Drosophila melanogaster: one gene and its partner. The gene in region 2 interacts genetically with the main gene of each other region. Each region holds a gene or a part of one and is shown on either strand. Other genes may lie near its edges. The genes, in order: Galphaq and tadr.

What was found.
Region 1: of tadr (region 2) and Galphaq, changing one suppresses a phenotype caused by changing the other (phenotypic suppression), as found in Drosophila melanogaster (one study listed by BioGRID).

The regions. Positions count from the first base shown.
Region 1 is NT_033778.4:12,610,788-12,626,164, reverse strand, and holds Galphaq (G protein alpha subunit q), read right to left. Parts: upstream 13,426-15,377; 5' UTR 13,319-13,425; coding exon of another isoform or gene 13,314-13,318; exon of another isoform or gene 13,286-13,313; coding exon of another isoform or gene 13,281-13,285; intron 12,599-13,280; coding exon of another isoform or gene 12,508-12,598; exon of another isoform or gene 11,820-12,507; intron 10,379-11,819; exon of another isoform or gene 10,336-10,378; intron 10,259-10,335; 5' UTR 9,869-10,258; coding exon 9,751-9,868; intron 9,626-9,750; coding exon 9,441-9,625; intron 9,379-9,440; coding exon 9,224-9,378; intron 9,094-9,223; coding exon 8,965-9,093; intron 8,710-8,964; coding exon 8,581-8,709; intron 8,371-8,580; coding exon 8,241-8,370; intron 8,179-8,240; coding exon 8,025-8,178; intron 7,962-8,024; coding exon of another isoform or gene 7,854-7,961; intron 7,723-7,853; coding exon 7,615-7,722; intron 7,385-7,614; coding exon 7,302-7,384; 3' UTR 7,182-7,301; downstream 1-7,181. Other genes in the region: CG30054 (uncharacterized protein), read right to left, coding at 813-895, 1,074-1,181, 1,258-1,411, 1,473-1,602, 1,673-1,801, 1,862-2,016, 2,079-2,263, 2,322-2,439; CG45086 (uncharacterized protein), read right to left, coding at 12,508-12,598, 13,314-13,318; Amph (amphiphysin), read right to left, coding at 15,076-15,156.
Region 2 is NT_033779.5:21,066,146-21,081,452, reverse strand, and holds tadr (torn and diminished rhabdomeres), read right to left. Parts: upstream 6,049-15,307; 5' UTR 5,752-6,048; coding exon 5,738-5,751; intron 4,095-5,737; coding exon 3,949-4,094; intron 3,891-3,948; coding exon 3,696-3,890; intron 3,360-3,695; coding exon 3,268-3,359; intron 3,183-3,267; coding exon 3,045-3,182; intron 2,487-3,044; coding exon 2,332-2,486; intron 2,164-2,331; coding exon 1,497-2,163; intron 1,417-1,496; coding exon 1,318-1,416; intron 1,253-1,317; coding exon 701-1,252; coding exon of another isoform or gene 599-700; 3' UTR 400-598; downstream 1-399. Other genes in the region: CG9265 (uncharacterized protein), read left to right, coding at 11,889-12,098.

The DNA of each region.
Region 1 (15,377 bases), on a different chromosome or scaffold from region 2:
ATAACACGTTATTTTATAACTGACTCACGTGCTTACAAAATATTTTCTTTTTATTTTTTAGATACAATTTTACATTTATTTCATCGTTTTTTGGTCGTTTTTTTTCGTGCTTTTTAGGTTCGCTTTTGAAGTGATGAAACGATTTATTGAAATTTAGTCACATGAAAGCACTATTATTAATTTCTAACTTTTTTGTAGATTTTAAATTTGTTTCACCAATTTTACGGGTTTACTTAATTTTTTTATTTTTTATTCCTGTTCTGTAGGTTATATATAAAATTTTAAACTTCCGAAACGTGGACTAAACAGAATTTTTGCAAAATTTGTATATTCTGTCTTGAGAGTTTTTCTAAGACTAATTGGGCGGCGCTGGGCGAATTTACATTTTCACCCGCACGATAAAATTGTTGAGAACTGAGCTTACTTAATTCGCCCTACTCAAGTCACTAAGAGCGATTTTTAAGAGAATTTGTTTATCTCTTCCCATTACCTTACACTTAGTTCACTCTTTTAATGTAGATTAAGTTAATTTGTAATGGCAATAAAAACACAAATAATTATTTCTAAGAGCCCAACAATGCGCGGCTCTTATAAGATGAACTGGTTTTTATTAATCCACGAATACCAAACTGTAAACGCCTAAAACCATATTAAAAACTAAATTTATAAGACATGCAAATAATTTCTTAATCGATAGAGGTAAAGAGAATGTATAAACATTGAATATGTGTGCTTATAACAAAGTAAGAGCAAAATTTATTTTTATTATCTACATGGGGAGACCACATAAAAGTTGGGGATCCACACCCATATTAAAACAGATTACTTTCTTTTAGGTTGCATTGCAAAATTGTATCCTTAACTGCAGCGAACACAAACTTAATGTTCTCCGTATCTAAAAATGAAATAAATAACTTAATTAGATGGGATTTGTAACGTATTATTTAGCTTTTTGTTAGGCTGTACGTTACTGCATTTACATTGTTTTTTCAAACGAGCAAAATACATAATCTCCCAATATAAGAACAGAACAAATGCATTTTAAGCCAAATAAATCAAGACAATACACTTACCTGTAGCACACGTAAAATGAGAATATATCTTTTTATATGTATCTAAACTAATGCTTTGAAACATACGTAGCACGTATTCCCTGGCCGCATATGCATCTTGTTTTGGACCTGTTTTGTAAAGAATTAAGTATTAAATATATTGATCAAAATTTGTGTGTAAATCCATATAACTTTTAACGCCTACCATCGTATTCTGGAAAATAGTCTACCAAATGCGAATACATTATTTTCTCCTCTAACACGTCCATCTTGTTAAGAAACAGAATGATTGAAGCATTTTTAAACCATTCAAAGGTTATGATAGTATGAAATAGAGCCTTTGATTCCTCCAGTCGATTCTGCAATAATCGGATTTTATTATTGTTGGCGAATAATTAATAAAATGCCTTCAAGTTATACATCGTTTTCGGATTCCATCATGAACTGATCATATTCCGACAGTGCTGCCAAAAATATAATCGATGTTACATTCGAAAAAAAGTGAATCCATTTTCTTCTCTCAGTTCGCTGTCCTGCTACATCCACCATGCTGTTTATAAACGAGAAATTTGTTAATACAATAAAATTAATAAAACTGCCCCTAAAAATTTAATATATACCTAAGTACATAGCCATCCAACTCAAAAGGATAAACGGTAATATTAAATGTAGGCTCTCGAGCACGCAGAATGTCCTGATTAGTTGGCAAGTAATCAGCCTGTTCAATTCGACCTATGTCACCCAAAAAACTGAAATAAGAAAATGAGAAAAAAGCAATTTTGGGTATCGCTCCTGGTGTCCCAACTCACTATTCAGTGGAATCAGTCAGCTGATATTCCCTACGACGATCATAGCACTCCTGGATGCCAGCATCGTGCCAAAGCGTTTTGATGGCATTCAAGTATGGATCCTCGAACGTGGTAACGGTCTCGTAATCGATGCTCATCACCAGATCGGCCAGTTCCTGTGGATCGTAAGATGTTGTTTAAGATTCAGTGACTTCAATTAGATCAATGTTTCACTTACACTATGCTCTCCCTGACCGTAGGAAATCTTCAGCATATCCATGGCCTTGATCATTGACTGCATGGCCATGAATATGTTCTGAAAAACCAGCTTGATGTATCCACGCTTGTCCTCGTCCGAGTAACCGCTGCCGTGGATAATACGCATCTGTTTGATGAATGTGGACTTCCCGGACTCGCATGCGCCTGTGGATATACGCACATTGTATCCTTGATACATCCCAATACATCCCACTCCACGTACCCAATAGCAGTAGTTTGAGTTCCCGTTTAGATCTTTTTTTCTCAAGGCGCAACTGTTTGTCAATTTCCTCATTGATACGCCTTTTTTCCATTGCCTCGGTCGATGAACAGCAGTGCATATTCATCTTTAAATCTTTAAATTAATTTTTGATCAGTATCTAAATGAGAATGTATCTTTTTTTGTGCTCTTCTGATAAGTTTCCGTAGTTATTCATTGGCTAAGATGTGGTTTTTCGTATCGTTTACTTTTCTTTTTAGTGTCCTTAAAACCACACTTTTTCTTCTATGCAACGCTCAAAAACACGTCCGTAAGCCATCGAGAATGGCCGAAAACTGATTTGGATTTCCAAAATTAAAAAATTGAATTCCCGTGCCCTAAAAATGTTTAATGACCTCGTGATAAAACACATCAAAACACCCAGAGAAATATCGTTAAAAACATCCCTGAGGATTTCTAGAACTCCCAATTCCCAGTGAGCGCATATCCATTATATAATTCAATCCACCACACAGCTCTACTGTTTAGTCAGTTACAAAATTCTAAAACTAAAATATTGATTATGTATCGAACTCTGATATATTCGAAATGCGTTTTCCAAGAGGTAGAGAATAGCATATCGTAGTCGCAATATCAAAACACTTATGAGGTCTTTTCAATATACTTTTATTTATATTATATTGGTTTTTTCATTAATATTAAGGTGTACATAGATACTTTTAATTATCTAAAAAATTTGTTTAGTTACAATTGCCACGCATACAATCGCCGTTTGCTCCGTCAATATGATTTGTATGACAAATGTATAGACACCCAGGAAAACCCCGTACGTCCAATATCAATTCAATCAATTCAATTCAAATGCTACAGTTATCAATAGTCGGCCCATGGACATGTTGGACTGTCTCTGTCTCCAAATCGGGGCAATCGGTCTGTGTGGGATTGCCTTAATCCTAGGCTAAGCATGCAGTTTCAGTGGATGTTTCATTAGCTTCCGATTTACACGTATGTATGTATATGCTTAGGTGTGCAATGGAGAAACTAGAGTCGAATATTACTATTTCTCCCTAATGACGCCCGAACTCACAACTAACATTTCTTACTGCTTATCCCGATGCTGAGTTTATAGAGGGTTTTATTTCAAAACCGAAAACTTCGTCTAGCCATTCCTATTATCGATAATGTAGTTTTCCTCAACGTCAAGGGCGATTTTCATTCGGGATTCTTTTTTAAGAATTTTTTTTTTTCATTTTTTTTTGCTTTTCAAGCTTTCTTATGTGGAATGTGGTCATTCTTTCATTTACATACATAGTTAAAGTAAAAACTAGCCACCGAATGCCATGCCTAAATGGTTTTCAAGTATCTGAAAATCGTGGCCATACTTATCGAGTATCCGGCCCGAAGGATCAAATTGCATCCTTCGCTTTCATTCCGCTCTAGATTTACACAATTACATAAATTTCCCATTTAAATTGTTGTCCCTTTTGCTTGCAGTTCTGTTTGAGTTTGTTGCTTAGAAAATTTCTTTTTTTTTAAATCTTAATTCCTTACAATATTCTGAAATTCCTTTAGCAATCGTCGGATTTGTGTATTATGTACTCGGCTTCTCTATATTGGAAATACATATCTAGTAGATTCATCTGCGTTACTTTGGTTTTATCATGTAATTTTAGTTATTAATCGTAACAATTGTAAGTGTAATCAAAATTATAAATTGTATATAAAAATACAAAATACATACATTAATGGTTTATATCAAATTCTCATTTTATTATAGTTCATTTTGCGTTTAATGTACACTTACATACACATGCTCGATTATGTGGTATATCTCTCGGGAGGCCTTTTGAATGCCCTCGCGAGTAATTTGCCAAATATTTACATACAACTGTCTGACTATCGGTGCGTATCATAAAATTAAGGAACCAATCTATCAACCCAAAGCACAACAATCTGGCCATACACACATGCTGATAATCTGAATGTCTCGGGGCTTTTAACAGGCTCCATTAGTGGTACAAAAAAAAAAAATAAATCAAGTTTGGAGTACCCATTTGGAGTCTGTCCTATATATAAAATATGGGGATTCATTATGCTGGAAAGGCACAAAATGTTAGGGAAATCATATCGAAATCGATCAATTTAAAGTGTGCGTATGTGTGGCTGCAAAGTCGGAACATTTTATCATTGAAACCGCCGAAAAACTCTTGTTTTAAAGGATGGAATTTTCGGAAGAAACAAATCGCAAATGTTAAGGATCAAAATAAATGGGAGACTTTGTCTGCTCGCTGATGCTGATGCAATTCATTGGACGGAAAACTATATATATGTATGTCAGTGTGTGAATGTCTATAATGCCGTGGATATAAAAAATGGGCCAGGCCAAAATCGGAGCTACCAAATTGGATGCCAGCTGTGAATTTTTGTATTCGCATATTCGCAAGAACCTAAACCGATTCCATATCCATACCGAACGGGCCCTCAAAACTCATTGGCTTTTTTTTCTCATTGTGTTCTCGGCTACATCTTTTAAAATACACATTGACTTATTGAAGCTTTTTAAAAGCTAATCCATTGGTTAATCATAAAAATGGTTTAATTTTTACTTTACTTTTACTTTCACTATATGTGGTTACGAGGATTAAAGCTTTATACAACACACTGTTGAATCGTACTTAAACTAAGATGCGTCTTGGTTTTTGGTTATTCGCGGTCATAGGAATATCTCAATTCTCCACTCCCATGAGTAGTGTCTTCCGCTTGGAGTCGTGGCAAAGTGTCTACTCCTCTGTGGCCCCGAGGGAACTAAACGCCAAATGATGGGGATGTGGGTTGAGGGAATCTCGCTCGGTTGAACAAAATAAGTGTACTATAAATTATGAAAAACATTTTGCATCATATTTATTTTACATACATGTACGTTTCAATTGTTTTCCATTTTATTTATTTTTTGTTTCCACATATGCGTAGAGTAGAATTGTTTTTATTTGGATTTTTACATAAATAATTTGTTGATGGGGTTTTCTATTTATGTGCGTCTCATTTAGTTATCCTTGTATATTAAATTAAACTAAAATTATAAAAACAAAAACAAAACACTGAACCCACTTGGCCAGACATCGCCGTTTTGGCTAGCCGCCAAAGCGAGTCCCTTGTTGCATACATTAAGATCTATAAAATAAGCAAACAACTAACAAAGTTAATGTAAAAAGTACGAAAATCAAGCTATTTTTGATAACAATGTTTCGACTGAAATTTTGATGGCAACAAAAGTACGTGAGAGCAAAACTTTCCCTTCTGATAGTTGTGTTTCTCGACCAGTGGTATATCGCATTTGATTGGATTTAACCTGATGTCTGATTAAATATCAATAAGTTGTATGGATTCTGCTGTTGCATGTTGCATGTTGCATGGGTGGTTATCGACATTTTTTACAAACACGTATTTAATGAATGCTCCATGTAAATGTTTCTGGCTTTTCTCATACAAATCTAGCTCCTATATCGTTTTTGTATTGGTTTGCATGCGTTTCATTTCTTTTCTTTTCATTCTCATGGTATTAATACGAATCGTAATTTACAATGAATGGAGCTCGCGCAATGCAAATTAATCAATTTTTAAATTGTTACATATGCGTTTATGAATTATTATATCTGCTTTCATGTATAGTTAAATATTTCGGTAAACAATAGTATCAATATTTACGGTTTACTGTTTAGCTTAATAAAAAATACAGTATTATCTGTGATTTCGTTTTCATTCATTTTATCATTTTATCAGCTTATCATTTTCGGTTTATTATTTTTACACGCCTATATGCCCTGAAATTCTAATAAGAAACTTCTTGCATATATAATTCTTTGAATATATATATATTTCGGGGGATTTTTACGCAAAAGTATGTTTTTGTTTTTCTGTAGTTATTTAGTAAAATGTTGCTTTATTATGTTATGCTTCAGTACGACAAAGTTGTTTCAGTTTGTTGTTCCTTATCAAGCTTTTGATTAAATTTACGTTTCATATTTTGTGTTTCGGATTTTATTACAAAAGTTACTATAGTAATAAATTTATTTAAATATTACAGAGTGACAACAACTAATTCGGACGATATTTTGTATAAAAACTTTTCAAGGAAATCATGTTTCTTGTGTAGGAAGGAAAAACTACCATCAGATTTATTCAAATCTAACCAAAAACTCTATCGATTGGGTACCAATCATTTCTGGCCACTGTCTTTTTGACTTTCAAGAGTTTTCCTAGTCGAAACAAAAAAAAAAAATTCACACAACGTTTTCTGAAAACTTTGCCGCTAGAAAGAATAGAAGTACTGCAATATAAATAAATGTTTTACGAATCGTCACATTCGTAAGAGAAACTCTGCCCTGATTATTTGTTGTCACACTGTATCAGATTTTGTGTTATTTTTCTCTCAAATTAAAATGTATACATCTTTTTCATCATTCTGCTGATGCGGTTTTAGCATCTCAGTTTAGTATTCTATTTATGCTACAATTTTCGGTTCCTGATGTAACAAACGTAAGAAACTTTCTCGGGTCTAATTTATGCCTAATTTTCGGCCACATTCGCTCGCTTCTCAATTCTTCTTTTATATTTAGTAAATATGCGAAAAAGGAATTATATGAATGTGTATGTGTGTTTGTATAAAAATCACAAAAATAGTTTTTCGATCCAAATCCAGTTTAGACCAAATTATATTCCTTAAGGTTCGATTGCAGAATTGTGTCCTTAACAGCTGCAAACACAAACCTTATATTTTCCGTATCTAGACAAAAGAAAAGAAGGCGTAGTTAGTTTGATTTTGTCAAATAATCCTATGATAGTAAACTGCACACATTTTCCATTCACGATATTTCACAGACTATATTTAGTTTTTATTGAGGGACTTTGAAAAACAAATCATATACATTATAAATAAATAATTCATTTGCATTGCCACTTTTCCTGATATCCGCACTGCCCGCCTTAGCCCAAATTGAATTCCTTAAGTGCATTTTGCATAATTGTATCTTTGACAGCGCAGAACACAAGTTTGATGTTTTCGGTATCTGTTTACCAAGAGATCGTTGTTTTATTAGAAATCAATTCGTTTAGGTTTGCAAATTTGACTAGCGATACACAACTACTCTCTACTCTAGATCAGCGGCAAAAGCAAATATGCAAATGTAAATGTTTTTCACACAAAAGTTTACCTTTTGACCAGTCCTTTTTAGGCTGAAAACTAAAATCACATCCACACACAATTTCTGACCAAACACAGAACTGGCAGCAAACTTACCTGTAGCACACGTGAAATGAGAATAGATAATTTTTTCGGAATCTGGATTTAAATCTACAAACATTCGCAGTATAAACTCTCGGGCCGTTATTGCATCTCGCTGAGGACCTGTTTCGATAAGAAGGCGAATATGAAGTTACGTCTAGCGTGGTTCTACGAAAACTAGCAAATAATCTACGGATGATATTGGCGATTTAAGGCAATTACATAGATCTTAAGTACATAAGGTGAAAATCCACCTGTGGCCGTTGTGAAATGCGAATAGCATTGACGTTCGGGATCTGGATTGCAGGCCAAGTACTTTTTCAGAACGAACTGTTTGGCCGCAGCGTGATCCTGTTTTGGACCTGGTTCATTGCCGCATAAAATCGTACATAATTATGGCCACCTTTATCATGCGGAACACTTACCATCGTATTCAGGAAAATAGTCTACCAAATGCGAATACATTATTTTCTCTTCCAACAAGTCCTTCTTATTCAGGAAAAGAATAACTGACGAATTTTGAAACCAAGGGTATGTAATTATAGTACGAAATAAAGCTTTAGATTCCTCCATTCGATTCTGTGAAAGCGTACAGGTGATTATTTGTTTAAAAAAAATATATTCATAACTTGAAATCATACCTCATTATCAGATTCAAACAAGATTTGATCGTACTCCGATAGCGCTACCAAAAATATAATTGATGTCACATTCTCAAAGCAATGAATCCACTTTCTTCTCTCGGATCGCTGACCACCGACGTCTACCATTCTGTTTATTAAGAAAAATATATTATTGTAAGAAAAGTTAACCAACAAATTAACTACATATAAGGCCAAACATACAAGCATTTAATTCTAGAGCGCAAGCAACGAATCTATTAGTAACTAAATTGTAAGAAATCGTCTTCACTAGCTTTACAATGACCATTTACATTACTAGCCTTGCCGGTAATTACCAATTGATATTTTTAATAGATACCTAAACACAATGCCATCCAAATCGAATGGATACTCAAGAATGCCAGTTGTCGGCACTCGAGCACGCAGAATATCCTGCTCGGTTGGCAAGTAATCAGCCTGTTCAATTCGAGCTAGATCGCTCAAGTAGCTAAATTAGATAAATTAATACACTTTTAAAACAATGAACGGAACCAAAAGCAGTGGCAAAAATAGTTTTGCAACCCGTCTCAGTCCATCAATTTCGCTGAAGGCCCTAACTAAGTCCCTGAATTGTTTGCTTGAAGAGACATGCGCTAAAGAAATTCTTAAGTGTGTAGTTACAAAGTACAAAATAAATTTTAACCATAACCAAACAAGAGGTCATGCACATGCAACGAAGTAAGGGTAGAAAGATGGTATGTACCTAAATCTGATTTCTTCTAAATCAAAGGGATACTCAATTATCCCTGTTGTGGGCACACGAACTCTTAAAATGTCTTGCTCAGTGGGTAAATATGCAGGTTGAGCCACACGATCGAGATCCTTCAGATAACTATACATAGACAAGATAATTGATTTAGTTTGCATAGTCGTTTCGGTAGTTTCAGTCTCTTCAGTTCGTTTTTCGGTCATTTTGCGGACGGATTTAAACCGTTCCCTTTGCATGCCAACGGTTAACTTACTATTTGGCTGAATCAGTCAGCTGATATTCCCTACGACGATCATAGCACTCCTGGATGCCAGCATCGTCCCAAAGCGTTTTGATGGCATTCAAGTATGGATCCTCGAACGTGGTAACGGTCTCATAATCGATGCTCATCACCAGATCGGCCAGTTCCTGTGGATCGTAAGATGTTGTTTAAGATTCAGTGACTTCAATTAGATCAATGTTTCACTTACACTATGCTCTCCCTGGCCGTAGGAAATCTTCAGCATATCCATGGCCTTGATCATTGACTGCATGGCCATGAATATGTTCTGAAAAACCAGCTTGATGTACCCACGCTTGTCCTCGTCCGAGTAACCGCTGCCGTGGATAATACGCATCTGTTTGATGAATGTGGACTTCCCGGACTCGCCAGTGCCTGGGGATATAGGATTGGAAAATATATATAGCCATAAGCGGCGGGCAAACAATGCAATTAGCGAGGCGGCTTCAATTGCATTAAGCCAGGCTAAGTGCAATCGAAATGGGCCATGCTCCACTTACCCAGTAGTAGCAGTTTAAGCTCGCGGCGCGCATCTCTCTTGTCCCGGCGCAACTGCTTCTCGATTTCCTGATTGATGCGCTTTTGTTCCTTGGCCTCCTCCGATAAACAGCACTCCATGCTAACTAGATTTATAGACGCTTTCGCGTGCTGCTGCCACTACGCTCGACAGACCGTTCCGTATATAAAATGTATGCTGTTTGGATGGTGGGATGGTCTCCTGGACTCCCTTCTCTGGACCCTCGGACACCTAGCTAATTGGTTGTATGGCGGGCGTTGAATTCACCCGTTCCAAGTTATAGATTCTGTTGTAGTTTCGATTGGTGCATTTGTACTTCGGCTTTGCTCGCTCTGCAGACCTCCTCCAGCGCTTACGATCCAGGCTCTCTTTGGCTATTGCTATTGCTAATTACGGGTCTACGCTAAGTTCTTGACCAGATTTCGGTGACTCGGAGGCTGAGAGTGATGGTTACTAATGAACAAAGACCACATCGAACGATCCAAGAACATCTGCAAGGAGACAAAGCTTTGATTTAGTGCTTGCATAACCGAACTGTAGGATCTATCCAACTATTGCTGCTACGGACCACCACAGTTGTTGGCCCAACGAGAGTTCGCCGCGTTGTGTCCCGTGCTGACAATTAACATTTCATATTTGCTAGCCTGCCCCACTAGCTGGCGACGTCGATGACGACGTCGGATATAGATTGCCCATGGCTACCCATGACTACCCCGGGACTTCCTCTGACCATGGCATTGGCTTTGGTTCTAAGTTCTGGGCCTGCTCTCTCTGCGCAGACCTGGGATCGCCCTCTACCAGGTGGCAATAGATTGAGGAAGCGTTCCCCACAATGCCCCTCAGCCAAGTTCAATGCAAGAAAGCTGATTTTGGAAAATATATGGCTTCGCTGGCCACAAGTTAGCGAGAGTGTTCTCCTATTGGGTGGACCAAGCAGTCTATGGATAAGAAGAATTGGCATATCATTCTAATTCGGAAATAAAAAAGTCACATACCGAAACTTATGATGCAAAAACACAGCTCTATACACAAAACTGGAATATCATTGCATAAACTTTAAAACTCTTAATGTACTTTTATCGTTAAAAGATATGAGTCCACCCGAATCCGCGGTTCATTCATGGGTTCAGCATAGGGCATGCCTATAGAATATAGCCTATAACCACTGGTGCTATTTCCTCTCTTTTCCAACCCCTAGTTTATATATCGAGTGATGGCTAATCCAATTTCGTTTGGCGAACACATTGACATGGGTCGAGGTAAGGCTTTCAGCATGACCACTACCAAATATCGATGGAATACCTAGCAATAATTTTGACAAAAGTCTGACCAGGAGAATTTGGCGGGCTCAGGTGGGCGAATATGGAGATCTGGATAATGATGGCTAGACGCATAGTATTCGGGAGGATTAGTGGGCTGCACTCGGAACACATTGCTCGCTGAGCAAAGCCACAAAATCGAATTAGCAGTGGCAGCAAAATTCAGGGGCAGGGGCACGCAATTGGCGCAATGAAGCGTTTTTTAACAATAGTTTGCCAGATATATCATGCCACCAAATCAGAGGGAGATTTACCTACCGCGAACTGGTCTTATCTGCCTTACATATTGTATATGCTGATGATAAACCACTCTGAGATAACGTTTGATTTGACTTCTTAATCTTTAGACGACTACTGCTCTTCTGAAAATCACTGTTCTAATGCAACCCATTTCCGAAAAACCATTTCTAAGCCGGAAATAGCTTCACGTTACTCATGCAGTTCCTTATCGCATCCTCAGCCTATTTTTGCTGGAGAATTTATGAGCTCATATTTTAGATACAAAAGTACCCTTTCATTATGATGAAAGCATGGCTTTTACACAAAATAAATATATTCGAATGGATTTGAATAAGATGGATGACAATCCATTAAACTCGCCTGGAGAATAATTCGATTTTTGGATTATAATATATTTCGGCCAGTTTTTAGTGGCAACCAACAAGTGGTCGGAGTCAAAAATTAACCACGAAATTACGATTCTTGTATTCAATGAGCATTCAGTATTACTTACTTAACATTACGGAGACACGGGACTAAAGGTATTCAGACGAGATTCTCCAAAAAGATGTTCCGGTTATCGTCTCGATTTGTTTTAGCTACCACTATGTTATACAAAAAATATTGAATTTCGGGTTTTAGTACGCCGATTGAAGTTCTTCCGGATTGATCGTGTTCTTTTAATTTTTGTTTTTGGTTCCCTGCCGATGTTCGGTCTGTTTTAAATATTTTTAGTTTAATCACGCGATTTGCTTTGCGGTGCGTTGGTTGGTCTTACGTTTTTTAGTTAGCTTAAACTAATTTCAAAAGCATTTCGTTTTTAGTTGGTTTGCGGTTTGGAAAACATTTGTTTTTAAGGAACGTGTGTAGTTGGTTATATATTTTTTACTGGTGCTTTTTAATATAAAAGTTACGATAACGTCTGTTCGGCTTCCTTTTAATGTAAATGTGTGATACGATACTATTTATATATGTAGATATATATCTATATATAATTTTCCCTTTTTGCTTCTAGTTTTCGGTGTGTATGAGTGCTGTTGTTGTTGTTGTTCTTGGTTTTTAACGTTTCTTCTTGTTGTTGTTGTTTTTAAACACCAGTCTGTAAATGCAACGAAGTTTCAACAAATATTCATTGTAGTGTAATTGAAACGGAAAAGTATGTACGACGACAACGACGACGACGAGCGGTCTTCAAATTGATTTCACACGAAACACTTAGTGGCTCCTTTTGTATTTAATTTTCTGCATATTTTATGCTTCTTGTATTTGTTTATTTTTCTGTATGCAGTGGAACTGCAAGTAAAGAAGAGAGACAGAGAGATAAGGAGAAGAACGATGGGGGGGGGGGGTGGTATTATGGGTGGTAAGGTGGGAATATGCATTCCGGAAAATCATCATCATACTGGCTAAGGTAAACACACACGACCCTCAGCTACCATTTTTTTTTTCATTTTTTGGTTAGCCCACCCGTTTTAAGCCCAAAAATATGCACAATCCACTATGTAGTTACGCGACCCCAACTAACTTCTCGCTGGCATGCACCGTTTAGTGGCAAAAGAAAACCACATTGAGTTAAACAAACTATTTCTTTTTTAAATTTCTCAACTTTTTTCCTATTCGCAGTGTTTTTCTCGGGCAAGCAGTGCGACTTGCTGCGCACTGCTTTACGAACGAATACACACAAATATAAGCGAGGGCGTTAACGAAACGAAAAAATTTTGATAGCAATGCGATTCGAAGATTTCGCGATTCGATTCGCCGTTTGTTTAACAATTATGGGGGGGCCTTGCTTAATGGCCAGCACTGTTTGGCGAAAAAATACACTTTACACTGGCATTTCGGGGAACGTTTTCGGTGCTGCTAAATTTTTTTTTTGTCGAGGGGGGGACTTTTTCGGGTGGCTGCCAGGCGGCTGCGGATGGCGACCGCTGGCTGGCGGGGAGTCCGTTTGACGGGGATCTTGCTCGAAACTCACAACATATTCGATTTGGCATCGCTCGCTACTCACAACATATTTAATTTTGCATTTTTCGCTAACGTTGACGCACGACCCGACTTTCGATAGCAGGAGGCGTTATTTGTCCGAACCTATCGGCCCTATCGTTCGTCGATATCGATGGTCAAACCAATCGGACGGCATTTGAACTAGTGGTGGCAAGATATCGATGATGGAATAGATGCTCTTAAATCAAAGTCTTCATTGTATTACATAAGGAAGGAGTTTTATTTGCCGCATAATAACTAATAGAAGTGGTTTATAACAAATAAAAACGGATTTCCTGGCAGTTCAGCTTAATTTGAAAATATATTACTTTTGGTATTTTTTAGTTGCCACCCCCACCACAACACATGTCGGTGTTGCCATACGGATTTCTATTCATGTGTGTCAATACACATTCTTAGCAATAAGGTTGGCAACGCCTTACATCCTTCAAATAAGGATGGCAACGCCAGACATCCTTAAAAATAAGGATGGCAGTGCGCCATATTCTCATAATTCAGGATGGCAATGCCTGATAGCTTTAGGAAAGACTGAAAATGTTGTGTCCTTTTCACTCTCTAACAACAGGGAATACACTTACCATGCACTTCCATATTCGTTAAGCTGTGACCCGAACCAATGACTATGATCGTAAATTTTAAATAACTAAATATATGTGTGTATAATTACCATTTAGAACATAAAAAATGCGAATATCGTAAAACGCCGGTCAATCGTCAAATTTACAAGCACTTTCTATCTTCGAAATCAGAAGACATTGCCCGCCAAATCAAAAGACTTGTATTATTTAATCTATGTTTTATTGGCTTTCTGTAAATTATTATCATTTGTTCAATATGTTCATGCGATAAATAAGTGTTTAAATTAATTAAATAAAATTAAAATAATAACTTTACAGTGTGTGCACAATTTAAACAATTATTTCGGGTTTCGTGTGATTTACAATCGAGTTAAATAAAATAAAAACATCGAATCGATCGGTTAGTGACTATTGGATTGTGTTCGCGTTATAAAGCTGTAGCTAGTTCGAGTCTCTCAAACGAAAAATTAAAAACCAAAGTACAAATTAAAGATACACGTAATCGCTAAACGTTAATGTTGTTACTTGAAACAATTTCCAAAACTTCGGGGACCACAGAGGAATTACATCTGGCCTTTTTGCATCGCCCCAAAAATACATTCAATTGACTATAAAAAACTCGTACTACATATTTGCAAAATTCACAAAATACAAAAGGTTCAGGCTGGCTATCTCCTCCGACTTTTGATTTGTTTAACAATTACTCTAGCTCTCGAGTGATATGTTTTACATTTGTGGTTTGCCATTAACAAATTACAAATTAGATACGTTTTGTTCGCATTAATTATGAGCACAATAATAGGATTAACAAATAATATATGTATACGTAGGTTTATGCTTTAGGTTTTCTTGAAACTTAGAACTAAAAAATAATGTTTGAAACATTTTCAAAATATTCTCTCTCTCATTCCTCATCTGTGTGTTCGTTCTTCTTTGTGTTAACAATAACAATTTTATGGTTGGAAGCACTGCCCTAACGAACAATCGCTATAAATGGATTGCCAGTTACCGAATACATTTCACAAAACAAGAATTTATTAATTGGACAAAAGCAAAAGCAGCGCTCACAAAGAAAATTTGGCCAAAAGTTTGTATTTGGATTTGGACCTCCGTTCGTAAAGATTTTTATGGTTGATCTGAAGTTGCTGATGGTTCGTTGCTAGCCCAGTTGTTCCCCAGTTTGTCGCTTCAGATGGGACGCGTGAAGTTGGCGGGGAAGAGTCCCTTCTCGTTGGTGCCCTCCTTCTGACCCATCAGCCAGCCTTCCTCCTGTAAATTGGCAATAAAGAACTGAACTCAATATAGACAGGAAGTGCTGAGATCTGCATTTGGCGCGGAGGGGGAAACTAGCGCGTGCAAAGCTCAAAGGAATGTGTATCTCCGGATTCCGAAGTTATACCCTTGCAAATGATAGAATCTAACAAGTTTAGCTTACTTAAATTGATGGAATTTTATGGAAATGAGGACAGACAATCCCATTAACATTGAAA
Region 2 (15,307 bases):
ATAAGAATCTACAGCATCACCTGGATCGTCTGGGTTTGGACAAGAATCTCATAACAGAAAATAACTTTAGAAAAGAGTGCCAAAGAACTCGATTGGCAGCCCTTGTTATTTGGGCTCTCACCGAACCTCAGACAAAAATGTCACCCAGTATTTCAAATAGATAACGATCCGAAGAACCGGAGAAGTTTGACTATTACCTCAACTGCGATCGGAGTGAGTTATTACTCAGGGTAATCGAGATTCAACCTGGTTACGAGGAGACCATTATGACGCCTATCAGGGAACTGGTGGATTACCTCATGGAGAATGAGAATTTATATATTTAGATGGCAGATAACATTCTATGCAGCTACGAAACTCTTACAATGTAAAATGATGTAACGATTGATTATACATTTTCGTTTTGAAAAATTTAATTTATTCTGAACTTAGTTGTACAGAGAGTCGCCTAGCTATATATTTGTAAATACATAAGTAAATTTCGACAATCAATTTAGCTAGCTAGAAAATTTCAGGCATATGTGGCTCGAAGCTGGATCGTCCTGGGGATCCGCATAGCAATTAAATAGTTTTCTAAACGGATTTTAAAAGGCGCAAGCTAATCAGTCCAGCAATCTTCGTCATCCTCCTCGTCAAAGTCGCGCACATTGAAGTCCTCGTGGAACAGGTCTTCGCCTTCCTCCTCCGAGGACTCCGACTGTCATCTGTGCTCGTTGATGCGCTGTGGCAAGCCGACTACGCCCATTCCCTTGGGCGGTCTGGGTATCCGGATGCTGGTGGAGGGACCCGCTAAATTTGATGCCGATCCCGACGCTGACCCCATGTTGCTCTTTCCCGAGACACTAGGTATCAGCTGGGCATTCATTATGGTGGTGTGCTCAAAACAATTGCAACAGTATTTATCGCATCTGATCACCAGAATGAGTCCAGCCATCAGCCAGATAAGCAATCCCGGCCAGGAATGTATAGCACAGCCACTGAATAGGATCACGCCCATCAGCAGCGACATTCCACAGATCACGGGACTCACGTTGATCACACTGCCCGTGTATTTGGGTATAAAACCCATCATAATGGTCACGATAAGAACCCCAATCCCTCCGGTCAACGCTGCCGGAGCCCAGTGCATCATGAGCCCGGCAATGCATAGGGCAATGCCCAATCCAATCACCACAATGGCGAAAATGGTCACGCGCCAGGAACTCACCGTAGGCACTCGCACACTGCGCTCCAAAGGTCCGGCGGTGGTTACCTGGAGAGTTGGAGGATGATTACATGTAGTGTCTATATTTACGTGTATTCATGGAGAGTTCTTACCTTAATCTTTTCACGATACTCATCCACAATGGCATCAATGTCGGTGGAGGTGTCCGAGTCACTTTTGTCAAATTTATCTGGGTACTCAAAGTCAGATGGCTTCATGCAAAATGTCAGAATATATATTTTTAATTGACATTTACCCTTAATAAACTTAATTAAGCACAGAAATCACTTACCGGTGGCTCGCCATCGGAAAGAATGGTGGACTCCACATCCCTGCCCTCTCGTTGAGGACAGGGCGAGGTGGGTTCACCCAGGAGCAGCCACTCCTTTTCCAGCTCTTGTTTGTTCCTGGGCTTGGTCTTCGGCTTTTTTAAGTTACTGTGCTTGGGCAGACCGATCTTCCAGAGACTTCTCTTTAAGCGACTCGAACTGGAAGTTGCGGCACTGCTGTAGCTGCTGCTCTTGGCAAACGGTGCTGTGGATAGGCGACTGTACGACAGTGAAGACTCGCTGCTGGGCGCCATATATTTGGGTCTGTAAGGGATGTATAGGAGGTAAAGGGCCCTCAGGAATACCCCACCCATGTGGCCAGCGGCTAATGTGTAACTGAGATGCTGTAGTGGACAGGCGAAGGCCAACATGGCACACATGCTGCCGGCGATGAACACAGCCAGCACGGGGTTACCACTCTCCGAGCTCTCATAACTGATCTGCTTGGACAGTATTCTCCACTCCGAGGTGGCCAGTCGCACAACAATACCATATAGTTCCGGAAAGAGCTCCAGAAATGCCGCCGAACTCGTCAAAAGCAACATGCAAGCCGAGGCAGGAACCAACTTATGGAAGCCGTTTTCATCCAGAATGTTGAACAAGGGCACGGCTACATAGTCCTCCTGAGATCTGAAAGAACACATAAAATGTATGTATGTATGTCAAGCCACGCTATTGGTTTAAATATACATCATCATTAAGGATATCTCTAGTACAAGTTCACAAAACATTTGTACAGTAGCCGATAACAGTTGTACAATATGTCTTTTTCCATTATTATCGCATTGTCAGACTCACCTATAATGCACCACCGTCGACAGACAAATGGCCGTCAGCAGCAGCGAAGTACTGACCAATCCCGTAATTAGAGTCGCCGTGAATCGTCCACCTCGAAGTTGTTGGGGCCAATCGCCGGGGAAGGAGTAGGTGAGCAGGGCAGTACCCAGGAAGACCTGAGTGTGGTGGTTTGAACTAGTTATCAGACGGATAATTTTGCAAATAGCAGCAGACTTTCCCCACCAATGCTGGTTGCTAGTGTATAAATTGACTTCTCTATGAAATTTTTTGATTTCTCTATGATTTTTTTGGTCTATAAAAGGCACTACAAATTTTTAAATTACTGGACTGAATAACTTAAAAAGTAATACATTATGCTGTATTTAAATCAAAGCTCTTTTATTACGAATACTCTAAGTATTACCAACTCCGGCAAACTAAGCGCCAAAAAATTTTCCATGTTTTTGCTGTCTGACTGGCGGCTTTCCGCGAACGAATACCAGTGAAAGGAGGCCAAAAAAAAACAAAAACGAAACGCAGCAGTACGTGTCATAATCAAAAGCCCGTATCCTGTGGATTCAGCTGCGGTCACGCAAATGTTCCCGGTCACGACAGCGAAAATCGATGGGACTTGGCAAACAAAAAAAAAAAAAACAAAGCTCAGACTGGCACAGTGCACTGACCCACTATCGAAGTTCCAGTTGGTATGGGGTCTAACGTCTACGGCCACTTACACTGCTAATGCCATCGGGCTGGAAGTAGCTATCCGCAGACCAGGCCAACATGTCGCCCCGCCACCAGCCGACGGCGCTTAAAATGGCGTTCAAGCCAAACATGCCAAGAGTCAGGATGAGGCTGAAGGCCCTCGAGTGCTGTGAATACGCAAATGCAGTGAGTGTCGCGATAAGTGGGTGGATTTGGATTTAAACTCGGCTTCGGATTCGGAGGAGTACCCACCTCCAGGCCCAGCATGAACATCCCAGTGACGAGGAAGACAACCGACACGCCAAGAACATCCGGCCACGGCTCATTCGCGGGTGCATTGCGGCCTGAAAGTAGGCAACATAATATTTGAACAGGTCGGCCAGCACAGTTCACGCCAAAATATTACGCATACATAACAAAATATATGCGATATGATAATATACATCAAGTTTATTATTTTATGACAAAAACGAAATTAATATATATTTAATAATTACAGTTCTGTTTGTTTCTTAGAGCACCATATGGTACTTAATTATTTTCGAAGAAGTGGCTTTACTTATAAGTATGTATGTATAATAGTTTGCTAATTAGGTCGTATCTCGTATTTCTAATGGTTTTGTTATTCCTTGAACCAATGTATTGTGCTACTTTATTTACAAGCATCTGTTACCACTCACCCAATATGAGAATCCTGGCCAGACCTCCGGTCATGGCGTCCAAGCAGGCACTGAGGGTCCTCGCCAGGGCAGCGCAGGCACACACGGTGGCCAGAGCATCTAGCCAGATGGCCAGAAACAAACAGCTAAAGTCGAATTTATTTGTGGCCCGCACATACGGCATTTGCAGGCTGCGGAGGCTAGTTTTACAGCGGGCTGGAACAAAGAATTAACTTACTTTGGAATATTTACAAGTATTCCACCTAACTCCCACCTGCCATTGCGCCATAAACGGTGGCCAAGACAACGCCAACCAGCAGGCTGGGAGCGGAAGCCTCGTTGTAGACAATCAGATAGGAGATTACCGAGGCTCCGAGGGCCAAACGGGCGCCACTGCCGCTGCAGAGCACGTCCAGCAGGCTGCAAGGATAATTCAAAGGACGCACGGGGGCAAGTTAAATTAAATTGCCTGCGAGGAACTGGCGTAATGAATACAAAATTGTGCAAATTAGACTGCTCATTTCCTTATACTTTTATGTTGGCTTAAGAATCGTAGCGAAAAGATGTGTATAATTAAATATATATGCGGTCAGAATACTAAATGGTTTTGGAAGTCTTTTAATGACATTTTTACTCGGAACTTTATCTGAGCATTTATGAAGACTTAATTGCACACTTACTTTTAATTGAAGGGATTAATCATGCGCAAAACATTATTTTTAGATCAAAGTTCGCAAAGCCCATAATAATACCATTGGCTTCAATATACTGGCAAAAATGAGTATGGTTTGACTTAACTTTTTCGACTGATTTTACTTGCGAAGGTGCATTTGCCTACATGACGGAGTGGAACTAAGGACTCAGTCACCTTTGACGGGATATGACTTCTGTGGTTAGACACCCACAGAAACACGAACGGAAATCCATACAACTTTAAGTAACCACAACCACGCTTACAAGCACAGTTTTTGGCGCCAAACTGACATTGGGAGGGATTACAGCACAAAAAATTCTTTCATAAGGAAGGTAAGAAAAATATATATTTTTTTAAATCATTTTTATCTATTTTAATTTTAATGGGAAATTAATAAACATATTTTCCCAGTCAACATTTAAATAAACATTTCATCAAGCAATTTTCAATTATATGTGGTTGCAGTGCAAGAACAAACAGGGAAAGAGTGGTGAAAGGAGATCGCGCCTGTTTGCTCTGAGGCTCTGGTGGCTTTGCCTCCTCTCGGATGCCATGAGTCATAGCCTGTTTTTTGGGGATATCCCCTTACGCCATTGGTATTGAAGCTTCTATTTTCCTCCCTTTCCCAGGCCAATTTTCTGCTGCTTGTAATTATGTGTACTCTGTGTGCATATTTTAAGCAGCTCGATTATCCTAATTACATGGCCAGCTGCTGGCGGGCTATCAGGTTTCTAGCTTTGGCCTTGCTAAGCTGGGAGTGAAATAATAGTGGGGGACACTTTTTCGTGAATCTAATTTTCCACATTTTCCGAACGAATCTTTGACCCAGCTTAGAGAATGAGATGCTTTAAAACAGTCAAGGTACACTTTGCGGTACACTTAGGTTTGTTTATAGTTGTTTCTTGTATATGTAAAATTATCCGTTCGTATCGAACTTGTTGAGCTCCCAAGAATGATATTTGAATACATAACTAAATAAACAAGATTTTTTTCCTATGTCCTTGTGTCTCTGTTTGTCTCCGTATCTTCATAGAATTAGAATTCATGCACAGCTTGAATATATCAAGTATACGCACAGTGGTCGGGCACTTGAATGGGCCAAGGTAAATCGCAGCGAAAAAGCCAGTCAGTGCGACGCCGCCAGAGGAAGAACGAAAGGAAAGCAAATACCAGTCAGAAGACAACAGAAAAACTAAAACGAGGAGACCAAGAACGAGGAAGAATACCCACACACATGCCAATCAAAAATCAATTTATTGATTACATGACAAATATCAGCCATAACAACTGCCAGATATGGTCGAAATGGCTGTCGAGTATAGGCCAAATGTATTTATTGTATGAATGGATATGGGCTAGAGAATCCTACCTGCCACTCGACATTGTCGTTGTTGTAGCAAAGGTTACTGTGGTTTTCACTCAGCTAGCAATCGGCCAGGTTCAAAATGTGATTTGCTGCTCATCTTGTGGCAGAACTTGGCCAACAATGACTGCCATTTTGTAGTGATCTTTTATTAAAATTTATATTAGATACTCCAACACTTCAGCACTTGAGCTTTAGCCCTTAATTAGCCAACACGCTTGAGAGGTAACTTCTGCTCTTGACACGTAACCTGGTAAAATATGGGGGAAGTGCACAGGTAACGCGTAACCGCTCGCTTAAATTGGCCGCAATCCACTGAATGTTCACTTGAAGCTTTTCCTCCGCCGCCCAAACAGCTTTCGCCCGATTCCGACGCACAGCTGTCCACCGGATTCGGAATCGGATAAAGATTCGGATTCAATTCAATACTGTCCTGCGCAGTGGACGTTGTTTACGTTTACAGTTGGTTGGCCTGCCTTCTGCTCTTTGGTGAGAAAATGGGAAATGGGAAATGGGAAAGTGGGTTGGGTGGGGTGGAAAATGCGGAGGGTCTCTGCATTTGGTACTCGAAAGAGTTGCACAAGTGCAATCGTTTTGCATAGCTAATGTACTTTATTTTTGAATTTACTGCAGCTCCGTCTATAAATATACTGATTTCCTCAATAAGAAATTTATATATAAGGAACACTCAAACTAAAGCTAATAAATCGTATACCTACTTAGTATTGATAAACATGGCGCCTAAGCTAATATTAGAATATCTTTTGCAACTCGGCGAAGCTAGAAAATCTGGTTATATTTCTTTGAATTCTACTGTCTAGACGACTTTTTATAATTATTTTTTTTGACTTCTCCCATAAATCCAACACATTTAAATGTACAGTTTTAATAAAACAAAGTATTCTCGGAATAACAATACTGCAAGTGATTTGAAAAATCACACTCCTCAATTTAAATCTTAAGGTGAAGTATGTGTACTTTTTTCATTCCGGCAACAAAAACCTAATACGAACATACAGAATTTAAGGTCACGTAATATAAATATCATCAAGATTACTAGTTTAGATTAGGAATAAAAACGAAATTAAGGAAGTACACCATAATCACATAGGTATGACAAACAACAACGTTTAACAAATGAAAGCCACATTTCAAATGTTTAGCACGTTAAATATTATTTTTACACCTATAAGTATTTTGCTCTTGCGTTCATTAGTTAAAGTGCATTCAAATGTGTATTGACGGGTTACTTTTAAAATGTAAAAACAAATCAATCAGGTATCTTAAGCTACCATTCTTTTATTATATTTTCGTTACGAAGTAAAATTTTCCATCTTTAAATAATAATTCCTACCTTCTTTTTAACGAGCCGAATGGAACCTAAAGAATATTATATTCAAAGTTGTTAGATCTGGCATTTATCTGAGAAGGCGACCTTGACTTGTGCAAATGACTCCCGCAAGTTGTGCTAAAATTTGAAACAAACAAATGCGAGAAGCCGCTAAAATAAACAGTTAAGACGGCTTCAAGCCCGATTGGAGACCTTGTGGTAGAAGGTAGAATCCTATCCTATCGAGAGTGTTCTATTTTCGGTGAAAAACATAACTAGTGGAGCTGGCTTTAGCAGCAATCTCTGAATTTGTCTAGAACGAAACGGGTTTTCTGTGGACAATCAAACGGCAGACAGCGGTCATAAAAACCAAAACAATAAAATGCAAACTATCTCAACTTATACCAAGCCGTTTAATTCGAACGTGTGCACTTCAGCAAAGTATCTCTGGAGTTTTTTAGAGGTTGCTCTCGTCAAATCAACGACTCCACGGATCGACCTTCTGACCAACTTTAACCGACGTTGGTCATAATTGGTCGGATGTTTGACCTTTTTACTTGTGATTTATTTACTAATTCAAGTAAAAATAAAGTTTCTTCTATTTTTGGCAAAGGCTACCTTGTCCGGTTTAAAAATAAAGTTTAGGCGAAATTTATGAGTGTTTCAAGCCGCCTACTATACTTTGATTGGGTCTTACTGTCTGTCTTACTTCGTACATTTGTTACTATATTAAATCAATACCATACCATCGATTTTCTTACAACATCTTACATAGGTTTCAGGCATGACGGACGTTCACGATAAGACTTTAGAGCATTTATGTTAATTGAAATCAAAGACAGAGACAATATAATCAAAATTCAATGTCATTTCGGTTTCATTTGTCTTTTTTCTTTGGGAATGTGGCTCTATGAAGTCGGAAGTTGTTGGTCAGGTTTACAAATAGCACTTTATTGGACGAAACAATTATGATTTGCTGTGGCAGATCAATGGTTAACAGACTCATCGAGATTTGTTTTCCCATATGTTAAAATTTTATGTGAAATCGACATTAAAATTCCGAAAAACAGTTTAAACGCATGTTATTTTTGACGTATAGTATTTAATATGTTAATTCTTATGACTCACTTGACTATTCTAGTAAGAATATATAAGCTGAGAATAATAATATAAGCTTGTTAATTAAATAGTGTTAGCTATTTGCAAATAGTGTATAAGCTACAGCTGAAAACGAATGTAATTTTGTAACTGTAATTTTTTTTTTTGTAATTAACTCTATATATATATATATTTAATATACTTTAACGAATCAGATGAAAATTAGTTTCACAAACAATAGAACCGGTATTGTTGGGTCCCCAAATCTACAAAATTCTACAAGCTCTGCAACGCAATTCGCGGGAACTAAAAAAGCCCGATATTCTTAACGAGAATCCCCTCAAGCATTTCAAATTTGCAAATAACCAAGAAATATAAAATACTTCAGAAGGCGAAGCGCAATTAGCACCACACATATGAGATTCCCAAGACTCACAAAAAATTGTTTACGGTAGCCAATCGATGACCATGACGCTATATGATTTTTGGCCAATAATTATCAAGCTCCTTATTGTAGTCAGATAAATCATAATTAATAATAATAAGCGAGGTTTAGGCTGTTCTAGCCAAATGGGCCATCATCGCCGGCACAGGAAATGTGAACAGCATAATGTCCAAGTCATCGGATAACACATGGCACAAAACAAAACGTTCGTTTTCGGTCATTACGAAACACTAACCGGAAGTCAGATGCTAAAACCAGAATTCTGATAGGAAGTAAAATAGGTTAACGTTCAGATTGGCGCTTGGCTTTCAAGACTCACCTTTGTGCTGGTTCTAACGGGTTTTTTGCGAAGGCTACCTGTTGATTCATTTGCGATTGTCTGCCTCTATCACGGGGTTCTTTTGGCCAACACAATCTGCGTGTTTTAAGCTTGGACACGGACTCGTATTTGGCCAGAGTGCAGCTTATATTTCACTTTCGGTCAACAGGGCACGAGGTTGAATTCTCGAAAAAGTTGAAAACATGCGCGCAGACCTGCTCGCTTTTGATGGCACAGAACAAATGGAAAATTGTTGTTTTGGGTTTAATTATGGCGGAAATTGGCAAGAAATAAATTGTGGTGAAGCGATTAAGAAAAGGGAAATATTTTATTTTGGTGGCGTAGTGTTGTTGAATAGCACTGATTAAACTGGGTTTATGCGGAGTTTGGCTACCGGAGAAATGATTGGACATCTGTTTTATGGCTAATATAACTGATTAAAAATGTCAAATTTCATTCTCAGTTCCTGTTAACGCCTAATGCTTATTATACCCGATACTCTTACTCTACGAGTACTAGATTCGTTGAAAGGTATATAAAATATTAATATTCTTGATCAGGATCAAATGTGTACGAACACATTTTTGAAAAACTTTTGGATATTTTTTCCTAATTTAATAAGTCATTAAATTTTTATCGATTTGTCAAAAAAACTGTTTGCCACGCCCACTCTAACTCTCTAATCGGTTCCGCCCACACTTTTGAACAATTTTTAAATTTTTTCTCGTTTTATTCCCCAATATTTATCGATATTCCAGAAAAATTATGAAATTTTCCATTCGCACTCACACTTGCTGAGTACGTCGTAGATACTCGTTATAGGTTTGTTCATTTTAAATACTAACGACTGTATTTGTTGAAGCCACCTGGCAACTCTGATTACCAAGTCGTGACTGAATCCCTCTCTTCAGAAAACAACCACTGAAACCTCAGAAGCCCAAAGGAACAGCTGAGTTCGCGCCCTTTTCAACATTCCCTCCAGCCCCTTTCATCCGCATTTTTTCTCTCACTGCGCCTGCGTCCCAAGTGTCAAAAATCGTCGCGAAAAGCAGTCGAAAAATATAAATATACGGACGAAACAAAATTAGCCGGACACAAAAAGAATGCTGGCAGTTCCAGTACATAAATTTGCATTTGTTGGGAATTAATCGATTAAGTGCGTGCCGGTTGACCGGAAAGTTAAATTACAATATTATATTATATATGTACGCACATGTGTATTTGCAGGTAATAACACCCAGCGGTGAATAAGTGGAGTTAAGTATGTTTAATATAAGCATAGAAAGTGAAAGAATTTTTTTTTTATTTTTGTGCCCAAAAGTGCTCACATAATTCCGCAAGTGGCCTTAAACATTTTTATCAGTTTCTTGACCCGCATGACTTCTTGCTCAAAATGCAAATCGAAGTCTAAAAAACGCACGTATACAAAACAAACGATATCAAGTCAAATAACAAAAATTTGCCTATTATGCAATCCGAAGATGTGACGAAATCTTTAAGAACGGCCAGCCATACACCATTTCATGCGATTAACATAACCAGTTTTTAATGAGAAAAAAGCAAGAGACCAACTCTCGAACTTGGTGGCTTTGTGCGAGTATGTGTGCGCAAAAGAAGGGTAAAGGAATACAAGGAATGAGAAGGAAAGAGAGCCGAGGTGCATTGCGATGTCGACAAGAAGGAAAGAGGATATAAGTTGGCCATAAGTGCATTTAACCAAATTTACGGGCAGTCGACTTTCATCCGAGGCACAAATAAAGTACAATAACATATGTTGGTTTTGAGGGGAAAGTAACGGCAGTATAAGAAGTTAAAGTCGGGCTTGATGATGAGTTATTGCAAAACTTACATAAGAGTTCAAAATTATTATTACTTATACATAAAATGCGTGTATTTTTTGTACAATTACCTATTTAAAATAATGTCTAAATTTGTAAGCCACTTTCTCGTCCAATAATTCCGAATTTCACATTTTGCTATTTCGAATCAAAATAAGTCATATGCACACATGCATACAGCTCCTTTATTGCAAGCAATATGCAAACAAATAAATTCAAATTAGCAATTAGTAAACGTAGGTCATTTTACTAAATTAATGAGCCACGTGGGAGGTGTTAAGGTGATTTAAGGTGCTAATGCACATTTACTCAGTTCTTATAACAAATATGCGTAATGAAAGGGCCCCGAAGGTATACTCACTCTAACTAAACTTTTAAGAAATAATACGAAAATGCATCACCCAAGCGATGTAATTTATCTTTCGTGTTTCATAACGCTAATTAGCCATGTTCACGCCGACCCTCTATTGCGCCGCGTGATAAATTTATGAAAAATACGTAGAAGCATAAGTCTTGATTATTTTAAATAATTACACAAAGCAAACTGGGAAATAAATAGCCTAAAGCGAAGCGCAGCCGAAAGCAGCATAAGAACCGAGCCGCGAGCAAAACAAAAATAAGAAAAATATTAACAACTATAATCCCAGCCGAAGCTGCGGCTCAAGCTCGATGACGTCACAAGCGCGACTTCGGCCGAGCGGCGAGCGGTAAGCAGCGCAGTCGACGTCGACGCCGGCTATATATCCAATAGCGCGCCAAAATAAGAAGTCGAAATTCATTCCTTTCGAGCCCACAACGTTCAAATTCGTTTGCTACGCTCACGAGAGCGGACGTGCAGTGCGGAAAAATCCGACAAAATCAGGCAAAGTCCCCAGATCCAAAACTATATACGGAATAAGCAAAGAAACAAACTAAAAAACAAACCCAAATTAATATATCGCGTCTGCTGCTCGCCGTTGTGTTTCGTCTGCATTTAAATTAACGGGCAAAAACTACGCGAAATTACATAAATCGAAAGCTAATTAAAACGAAAACCTGTGTCTTAGCGAAGTGTGATTAACTTAATTACCCGAAATCTAAACAGATCAAATTCGAATCGAGCAAATCCAGTGACAGTCTGTGCAAAAATGGAGAAAAACAACAACGAGCTGTCCGCCGAGGATGCGCAAATCCTGGCCAACGGACACGCCCACCCCAATGCCAATGGAGTGGTCCATCAAAAAACGGAGCCAGTCGCTCCCGCTGCCGATGGCTGGCGTCAAGTCCTGTGGAATACCTGGGATGCCTTTGCGGACGTGGCCTGGTTCATAATCTGCTGCATTGGATACATCCTGCAGGCAAGTCTCAAAAGTTTACTTAGTCAAATATTGTCAATATAAATGAAGAAACGATTTTATTAAGGTGAATGTAACTCCAAAGTTAAAATTCAAAAAGATTCACAGCTCTATAAACGGAGAATTCAATAAAAAGCTGCCTTTGACCTTCCAGGCGTTTTGATTTAATTAAGCAAATCTAAAATTTGCTTCAGCTTTAATTATCAGCAAATAAAAAATACCCATAAACAAAAGGTTCCTAATTTTTGAGCGATCAAATGAAAGACCGTATTGTCGCTCGAAGTGCTGCATGCCCGAGACCTTCTCACTTTTGTTTAAAACAGTTTAATAAAAAAACGGTTGAGACTTATTTGCTTCCTCTGCTCGAAGAATAATTTACCTTCGCGTTGCCTTTGCTTGATTAGCAGCATTGTGCGATTTAGTAAACGCCTTTTACCTTCGCCACTTGGCCAAATGTGTCAAAGTTTTTGGGAGAATATAACAGAGAATTGAAAGTCTGGCGATCGCATGGCTGGCAAAAACAACGAGCGCCAGCGATTAACTTATTTAATTAGCAGCGGAAAGGATGTGATGTGTGTGATATATGGCCAAAGGTAATGGGCATTGCCGATGGCAGCACGTGTGCCGTTTAATTGGAACCGTGAAAGAGATTTAAGGCATTAAGATCCAGCGCAGACGAGTTTTCAGATCGTATCTGTGGACCCGAGGGAGGGGTTCTGGTGATTTAGGGACTGCCCGAGATGATGTAAAGCAGACTGTGAACGATAATTTATTTTGACTTGCGAATTTGGCATTCGAGATGCCATCGGGAAGGGGATTGGATGGCCGGAACCAGTTAGGAATTGAGTTATCATGTCCATGTTAAATCAAGGCCATAAACTAGCCTCGGACAATATGAACATGAGCTAGACGGTTGATCAAAAATATTTATTACTCAAATTCGATATTTGAAAAATAGAAATTGCCCATTAACTGAACTTAAACAAAAAGAAGCGTTCAATGTGCTTGGATTTGCGTTGCCAGCAACTATAATTATTAAAAACCTAGCTGAAATAACAATAATCCGAATTTTAAATGCGTGATTGGTCACATATCTAATTGATTTACACAGTTGAGTGAGAGTACAAACTCTGAGAACTACAACCACAAATATTAGGCCAATAGAGTCAATGAATCAGTTCATAGGCGCCAAAGACCGCTGGAAATTTGAAAATTGGGCCCAGACCCGTATCGGGCTCAAACTAACACTCTGACACGCTAAGTGGTTTTTAAATAACCAAAAATAAAAGACAATAAAAGCAATTTCAATTTTATTACGCAAGCCTTGGTTTGCGGTAATTATATTTTCACTTTACCGCAAAAAAGGTAAAAAAAAAACCTTTTTGTAGCCAGGGGTTAGTGAGATATGATCGGGATATATGTGTGGCACAATAGCCACTTCCATCGGTATTCCTCAGCTGCTGGGAGAGGGCCATAAAAATAGAGACGATTCGAAACTGTTGACATTAGCATGCCGAATGCAAAACCAGCGACTCAGAAAGTCAAATGAATTTGCATGTTAATTCACGGATTTGGTAAACTCTTAAATGATGATTCTAAACGCTATCCGCTTGACTTGCTTGTCAACGATAGTTGGCAGATGTGCAAATTACACGCCGGTTGTTGTGATTGAATTAACAATCGGTTACTGGGTGGATACCCATGGATTATTATTAGCCCGATTTATGTCAATGCATTGCTGGCATGCATTTAACAAAAGACTTGGGCAACAAACTTGCGCTGGAAGTTCCACCTACAAGTTGAATGTTTGATGGGAGGAGAACTTATGTGGGCTCTGTTACACAGTTATAAATTTACTTTAAATTTTGTTAATATAGTTTCTGTGATGTATATTTTTTTGGAATTCGTTTGATAAACTGTGACATGATACCAAACTTTATCATCAAAATGCTTCACAACAACATTTTAAATGTTTCATATATTTGGAATGGAAGTATCATTTTTAATGTTAGTTCCAGACAGTTTTAGTTAATAAGAATAAAAAGGTCTTCCGACCAAATAGGGGCATATTTCTCCGAGTGCCGGCGCATGTAATGAGAGTCAATTCAGCTGAGTTACTGCGCGCTGCCGAAGTCGCTGTCAACTGCGCCGCAGCGTTTGGCTTGTTGACCTAGTTCAACTTTTGCATTTTGCCGGCCCGTGGTGGCGGTGCTGGCCACTTGGAGAGCCTGTTTTTATTAGCTAGCCGCAAGACCCACACATCCATCCACACACATATCGCATTGTATTGTATTTGGTGGTAACAACAACAGCCACCGCAATTTCGCGGGCATTCGTTGGGTCTTGTGTGTGCGTTGCAAACGCAAACGCAAACGCAATTGAAACCGAAAGTGTTTGCGGCCCCCCAAAAGGCAAATAGCTAAACACAATATCTTACTACTGGATGGGTTGCCGTTGCCTTAGATCGCCTCTTCGCAAGCCGTGCAAGCCGCAAGTCGCAATTGTTGGCTTAGAGACCGGGCCGGTTGCAGGTTCATAACCCGCATGCGGCCTTGTGCACTCGACTGATTTACGCTGCCAGTGTGTGTGTCAGCCTGAAAATTGGGTTACTGGGCGGGTGTAATGTGTACTCGTGACAAGAAACAGAAAAGATACTGTCTGGCTGACCATCGTACATAATCGTGAAAAAACGTCAAGTTGTGGCAGCAAGCAAGCACTTAAAATTATTTGAGGAAGCAAAATATTTTCATTAATTGCCTTGAGAACGAACTTTTACAAATTGAATAGTTATATTTCTGAAAATATAATATCAAATAACAAAATGTTATAATCTTGTATATTCGATGTCTGTGTGTCTATTATACTTATATGGTAATGGTACTTTTACAATACCAAATACCAATACAAAATGCTGACTACCCGAAATAGCCTTAATTTTCACAGAACTGAAAATGACACTGCAAGTTCCCCTGTCTCAAAATAAATGTGCTTCGAGCTAATCACTCGACATATCCGTTGCAGCTGAGTTCGGCTTGGCAAATATCCGCTTTTGCAGACAAATTACAACTCAGTCACTCAATCCACAGGTGGCAGTAGCCGATATCGCATAGAACTCGATTGTGCGATTTATGAGCGCGTGCCTCTTAGTCAAATGCACTGTTAGAAATCTTTATTATGATACTAGTTTTTCACAAATCTATAAATGAAAATCG